2 linked regions of the Xenopus tropicalis genome follow. The protein of the gene in region 2 interacts with the protein of the main gene of each other region in a pairwise test. Links are inferred from orthologs where the notes say so. Each region holds a gene or a part of one and is shown on either strand. Other genes may lie near its edges.

Region 1 (3,755 bases), on a different chromosome or scaffold from region 2:
CAGTCACACGGGTACCGGGAAATACACTCCCCCGTGCAAAGGAAGCAGAGACAGTCACACGGGTACCGGGAAATACACTCCCCCGTGCAAAGGAAGCAGAGACAGTCACACGGGTACCGGGAAATACACTCCCCCGTGCAAAGGAAGCAGAGACAGTCACACGGGTACCGGGAAATACACTCCCCGTGCACAGGAAGCAGAGACAGTCCACACGGGTACCGGGAAATACACTCCCCCGTGCAAAGGAAGCATAGACAGTCACACGGGTACCGGGAAATACACTCCCCCGTGCAAAGGAAGCAGAGACAGTCACACGGGTACGGGAAATACACTCCCCGTGCAAAGGAAGCAGAGACAGTCACACGGGTACCGGGAAATACACTCCCCCGTGCAAAGGAAGCAGAGACAGTCACACGGGTACCGGGAAATACACTCCCCCGTGCAAAGGAAGCAGAGACAGTCACACGGGTACCGGGAAATACACTCCCCCGTGCAAAGGAAGCAGAGACAGTCACACGGGTATTGGGAAATACACTCCCCCGTGCAAAGGAAGCAGAGACAGTCACACGGGTACCGGGAAATACACTCCCCCGTGCAAGGAAGCAGAGACAGTCACACGGTACGGGAATACCCCCGGGGGGGGAAATACACTCCCCCGTGCAAAGGAAGCAGAGACAGTCACACGGGGTACCGGGAAATACACTCCCCCGTGCAAAGGAAGCAGAGACAGTCACACGGGTACCGGGAAATACACTCCCCCGTGCAAAGGAAGCAGAGACAGTCACATGGGTACCGGGAAATACACTCCCCCGTGCAAAGGAAGCAGAGACAGTCACACGGGTACCGGGAAATACACTCCCCCGTGCAAAGGAAGCAGAGACAGTCACAGGGTTACCGGGAGATACACTCCCACAATCCTTTACTTCCCAAAGCACACTTTTATTTATAATATAACACAATAAACCTTAAACATTTGAATTTTGTATATTTTAAACCAAGGTATTCAGTAATCTGCCCTTCCTACTAGGGAGCTTTTACACAGATTTCCCATAAGTATTCGGACACTACAGTGGTTCTGCTTGATTCCCAGCCCCACAGGGGCAGCACGGCGCTACTATTGCCTACAGATTATGAGCAACTGCGGTCACGTGCGTTCCAAGCCTCGATGTCGCCAACAATTTCTCTCTCAGGGCCTGGATGCGAAAGCGAGGCTTGGAATACAGGCTTCCCAGGCGGCCAATCAGCTTGCAGCAGTCGTGGTATGTGGGTGTGAGGGAGGGGAGTGCCTGGGAGGCAGCGGGAGCTCGATCCTGACAGGGAACCGCGGACACGGGAGGGAGAAGCCTCGGTTACCGGGACGGAAGGTACGTGCGTTTGGTCACGGAGTGTGGGAGATATGGGGGAGCCCCGGGTGTAATGGCGGATGGATATAGCTGTGTATGTAGTCCCGCTGTGTGCGCTGCCCTGGATGTGGGTTAGTGTCAGAGGTGCAAGGGTTATACGTTATAGGCGGGGGCGGGGCTATATGTTGGGGTAAGAGGGTAAGTATTGGGGTACGGGGTAAGTATTGGGGTACAGGGTAAGAGGTGACTGGGAGAATTAGTTATATATATTTGATATGTGTGTGTGTAATATAAATATATATATATATCACAGGGTTATACTGTTTGTGTTATAGGGGCTGCTGGGAGTTGTATTGTGAGGGAGGGGGGCTGTATATGTAGTTTGGGGGGGCAGGAAGGTAGGCACTAAGTATTATAAATGGGGTGACCTGGACTTGTGTCGGGGGGCCCCTTCTGCACTTTTTCATCATGGAACGGTAACCCCCGAAACCGCTTTCACTTTCCGTCATGTTTGTACTTCAGAGCAAATCTTTCCCTTTATAATGGACTGCTCCTTACCTGTAAACCTAAGACTATCAGCCTGGGGGGGGGTGTTGTTCATATAGAGCTCACTATCAGCGCTCTTGTGATTGCAGAGAGGAGGCGGGGGTAGGAGTGTCACATTTGCCCCTATAGCCCGGGTGCTGGCACCTATATCAGGGGCGCTGCCAATGCTGGGGTAGTGTAATTACTTACCCCCCCAGAGAAGGGGCGGAGGGGGGGGGAGAGACGTTTCCGTGCGGTTCTGGCACGCCTTTACTCTCACTTCCATAAAATGTTTTTCTTTTATCTAATTGGCTCTCTTTGAACTACATCTCCCAGCATGCAACTGTAGCTGAACTTCAACTCCCAGCATGCAAGCTGCTCCCGTCTTGGGGGGGGCTAATGATGTTTACATTGCCGGTGAGTGGGCTAATGAGTGCTAGGGGTGGGCTACGGAATTCGGGCATTCCCCGAGTGGGACTTGGCCACCTCTGTGTGACGGAGCCTCGGGGAGAATCCCCACTCCCAGCAACGCTGTAAATTGTGATTCATGTTAAATAGCAACCGCTCTCTCCCCGGCTGTGACGCAATCGCCTTGGTATGTAATACAGAGTGTTCCCTCTGCCTGACCCCCACCGTGCACAGTAAGGATCGCTCAGCTACCCCCATGCTGTCAGATAGTAGAATTGATGGTATTGGTGGAAACTGGGGGGCCCTAAATGGGATTTAACGTTGGCACCCACGGTTGCCATACGACCCGGCAGATATTCGGTCTTCGTTTTTCATTCCTAGTAGTTTTCAATTTTTGTTCAGCAGTTTGGCGTTTCATCAGCTATCTGGTTGCTAGGGTCCAAATGACCTTAGCAACAGGAGGGCGGTTGGGATGAGAGACGGGAATATGAACAGGGGAGGGGCTGAACAGAAAGATAAGGAATAAAAAGTAACAATAACAATAAAACTGTAGCCTCACAGAGCAATAGGGTTTGGCTGCCGGGGTCAGTGACCCCCCCATTTGAATGAGTTAGAAGAGGAAGGCAAATAATTAATGAAGACCAATTGAAAAGTTGCGTAGAATTGGCCATTCTGTGACAAACTAAACATTAACACAAAGTTGAACCACCCCATTAAATTTCAGTTGGTCTTCATTTTTTTTTATTTATCATTTTTAATGTATTAGCCTTCCTCTTCTGACTCTTTCTGGCTTTAAAAAGGTGGGGGTCACTAACGCCCCCCCCCTTCTACAATGACCCAGTGGGGCACCTAGCAGTACAGGGAGACGCCTATGATACACGCGTGTGCAAATCAACAGGACAAGGTTTCCAAGAGGAACTGAAAGACTGAACCTCCGGGACTTCCTGCAGGTATGAGCTCATATACAGAGGTTCTGCTTGGTTCCATATAGCGCTGGTTCTGCTACTGGGCATTGGGCTTTATAGTGCAGTCCGTATGGTTTCGGGCCGGATGCAGGCTCGTTATATATACATATTTGACCCAATGCAGTAGAGGCGGGCTTACACGGGCAGATTTCAGCTGCCAATTCGGATCCTTTATACTAATTGGTCAACTTATCTGCCCATCTATGGGCACCCCTGATTGGCCTTCCTGGCCTAAAATTGGGCAGCTTTGGTATCAGGGGCCACACTGGCTCGTTGATGTGTTCCTCAGTCCAACATGTACCCGTTAATCATTTGGCCCGCCCAAGGTCCGCTCAATGTATGAGGCCATGACCAATCAGATTGGACATGTATGGGGCCCCCAACGGGCCTCCCTGACACATATCTGGCCTCAAATTGGGCAGCTCTCCATTGGGCAGCTTTGATATCAGGGCCCTCATTGGCTCATTGATGTGTTCCTCAGTCCAACATATACCCGTTGTTTTAATTGGATCGT
Region 2 (3,709 bases):
TCGCTTGTGAAATTCTCATCAAATCCCCCCCCCCCCCACCCCACAAAAGGTAACTTGAGTGATAGACGAGGCTTAAAAGATACAGGAAAATAGTGTTACAGGACTGACATCCAACCTGGGGCCCTCCTGCTCTTGATAAACTACAGCATTCTCGTCACAGCCTAAGGCTAAAGGCTGATGATTGCAGTTCAGCAACCCCTAGACGCCCATAGTTTAGATTTTTCTATGTCGAAATATGCACATATAATGGATAGGACACGGTCCGGGCCATTAACTTTGACTCTAGATTGTATAATTTGGATAGGTATACTGTTTCACAAAGCCATCCTTTCATTTCTCCAGAAACCAAATGCCCTTAAAACAATTGTTTGTGAAGTGACTCTAAAAGAAAGAACAGCAGTTTCTCAAATTCGCCAGGACCCAGTTATTGGATACACCGTGGTTAATGAAGCTAGTTTGTCATTTTTGCTCTGTGATTAGGTATAGATTTCCTGGTAATTTATTTTCTTTAAACGCTTGCCAATGTTATCTTCCCTAAACAGACAAAACAGAAGGGGGGGGAGAGGTTTAAAAGCATTGCAAGCCTAGACAGACTAATTAAACACTGGAATAATAACTTTTGAAAAGTTGTCTTGTTTAAAGCCCCAAGCCTGGAAGAAAAAATAAGGTCAAACATATGTCACGAATTACTCATTTGTCATTCATGTCTTATAATTATTGAATAACCATTCATCCCAATCAGAATATCTCATAAGACTTAATTAGGAATGGTAAGCAGGTCATCTCCAATTATGACTTCGCTTTCACTTATTCCACTGACCACTTGTCTGATTAGTGAGTTAATATAGTTGCACTTATCTCTCGCCATCATCTAATAGCAGGATAAAGCTACTCCACTTTATATATATAAATATATATATGATAAGCATCGAAATCACCAATGAACTGGAACATATAATACATATTTCAGTTATGTTTATATTCAGTGTGATATACTATGTTCATTTCTTATGCTACTGATATGCAAGTATCACGTATATTGTATTTCTTTTACTAGAATTTGCCATTTTAAATGGAAATGGAAAAGAGGATTTTAGTGTTCATGTCTGTTTGGGGTATTTCAGGTATGACGGAAGGTGTCTGTTATGAATCATTTGACTTTTTCAGTTCTAGATATTGATTGGTAGTTATTCATATCACTATTGATATGCAGCGGATTAAAAATGTATATATTATTATGGTCTGCCAGAGATTCTGATCAGTGAAAGTGATGTAATAGGCTCAAAAGAACTGATTTCACTGAAGTGGCTTATGTGACTGAATTAAAGCAAATATTACCCATCACTTTGCACTTTGTTAATTAAACTCTTAATTTGATGCAGACTGTGTATATGGCTTTCCCAGAGGAGGTGTTAGCTGATAATATAATTAACACCTTTCTGCAGTTGCTGGGACGGGCAAAAAAGGCTGCCCTCCCTGGGATGAAATCTCTCTATTTTATTCCTGCAGGAAGGGGGAATGGGCAGTCTAAATGTGCCAATTGTCTTTTTATCTGCCATAAAATTGCATTTGTAATAGTTTGGCTGCTGAGAGAAACAGGAGTCAACAAGTGATCTCCATTTCTTGTTATAATACTGCAGTGATACTGGATCAGGCTGAATAAGGATGGAGTGCAGCACGGGTTTCTGAAGGATTGTGTCAATAAATAGATTGTAATTTCAAATGAAAAAATGATACTTGGATTCAATCTTGCTTATTAAAGGAATTTGATATTCTTTTGACACTGACAGGATTGTTACATAGGAATACACCAGGAAAGACTTGAAAAGAGGGAACTATTTCTGCCCGTTCGTATTGTAATGTAATATACAAGTATTTCCTGTTTAAATAGAAACTTTTTACTTATAATATGTCTTGCATAGCGTTTATAACATTCCTATAGTGTTAGCAAGCTGCACATGTCTGAAATATTGTATACATGCTAGTTAGCAAGTGTCTAACTAGTACTTTTTACACTGCTAAATGCATTTGCCAGTGAGTACGAACACAAAGCTTTGAGCAACAGAAAAACCCCTCTCTGCTCAATTTGAACTGTCAGAAGAAGCTGCCGTATGCATGGATGCTAATGGCATATCCTAGGCATACAGTTGCTTAGGTTTGCACCACTGCTGTGCCACTTTCTGCAATGCAGTGCTAATCCAATACAAGGCATCACAATTACCAGCTAATATATATTTCCTTTTTGCTGCATGCTCAGACATTGTAAACACAAATATCCTTACCTGAACTGTCACTTTTTCTTTTGCCAGTCCTCTTTTCTGCTTCTGCCGGGGAGAGGGTCTGTCTGCCATAGTCCCCTGTCACACAAGCTGCACCCGTTGAGCTGTTAGTGCCCAGGCTGGATGTGTTTGAACACAAAATAGAGGGGCTGCCACTTAGATCTGGAGGTCCAGATTCCTGCTGAAGGCAAAGGCTATGTCTGGTGGAGGCAGGAGGAGATGACATCTGAGGAATGTGCCAATTTGATTGCAAGGTCTGGTGCTGTTGTTGCTGGTGATGATGATGATGGTGATGATGGTGATGATGTCCTCTGTGATGCTGGCTCCCAAACATGCCCTCCTCATTGGGATAGCCAGTTAATATGCAAGAGGACGAAGAAGAGGATAAATCAGGATAGGACATGTGGTCGGATCTTCCATGGAGGGCAAGAGAAGACTGGGCAAAGGGGTGTAAGCCCTGAGAGGTGGCATGGGGGCTGCGCAGGCAGCCAAACAGTGTGTGTTCCATGGCATACAAGTTTCAAGTTGCAGGCTTGAGATTCTGGCAGGATTAAACTCCACAACGCTGTCACTTTTCACTGTAAAATGATATTTTTCCCAAACAGTAACGGCACACTTTCAGTACAGATCAGATAATCCAGGTCTTCAGCCTGGTGGCCAGTCTCCTGTGCTTAAACAGTTTGCTCTGACCAAGATGAGCTTTTGCAGAGCTGCTCAGATGTCAAGAGTAGGAGAGGTTAAAGCCAACAGAAGGTGGTCCCAAGGAGCTGCTTTAATGGGGGAACAGCTAAGAGAGGATATAAATAGTGTGTAATGTGAGCTGGGGGCTGGCTTAGCAACACAGTACTGACCACAAACTCTCTCCAAAACTTTAGCACTCACAGATCCTTCCAAGTTGCGACAGCATCACTGCACTGTCTATGTACAACTTAAACCGGTTCTGCCCATTGCTAATATGGATATAGAGAAACTGCACGCAGGTCTTAGTAATTCATATACTGACACAATGACAAAAAGCTCATTCTACCGTAAGAAATCAATTGGAAAGTATTGTGCCATGCCAAGCAATACATGCCATTTTATTTCTTTTTTAGTGTTCTGTGTAGTGAATGTGATACAATATAAATAGCTTTAACTAAGGCACCATTAACCTACTGTTACTGAATCTATAACTCCCAGAATCCCCTGCCAGCTGCACTAGGTTATAACTTTTTACCAACATAGGACATATATGTGCAGTTTTATACAGCGGGAAGTAAGCAGTATACATTGTTCTCTTTTGGCGAGAGTAACGCAGAACCTGAGTAATGTTCTCCTCAAATTGTTTTCAGAAATAGGAAGATGTAACATCCTCTTAGTAAATAGGAAACATGTGTGTTTTCCCAACTAAAAGTCACACCTGTGTTTTTCAGATGTTTGTCCCTAAAATC

The links. The genes of interacting proteins can lie anywhere in the genome.
Region 1: the proteins of meox2 (region 2) and pacsin2 interact in binary tests that used the Homo sapiens proteins (3 or more experiments, as listed by UniProt). The two-hybrid records come from large-scale screens. The link is inferred for Xenopus tropicalis from reciprocal best matches to the Homo sapiens genes MEOX2 and PACSIN2.

What each region holds. Positions count from the first base shown.
Region 1 is NC_030679.2:3,829,178-3,832,932, forward strand, and holds the start of pacsin2 (protein kinase C and casein kinase substrate in neurons protein 2), read left to right. Parts: upstream 1-1,322; 5' UTR 1,323-1,364; intron 1,365-3,755.
Region 2 is NC_030682.2:36,890,952-36,894,660, forward strand, and holds the start of meox2 (homeobox protein MOX-2), read right to left. Parts: upstream 2,938-3,709; 5' UTR 2,788-2,937; coding exon 2,283-2,787; intron 1-2,282. UniProt on the Homo sapiens protein: Mesodermal transcription factor that plays a key role in somitogenesis and somitogenesis and limb muscle differentiation. Required during limb development for normal appendicular muscle formation and for the normal regulation of myogenic genes.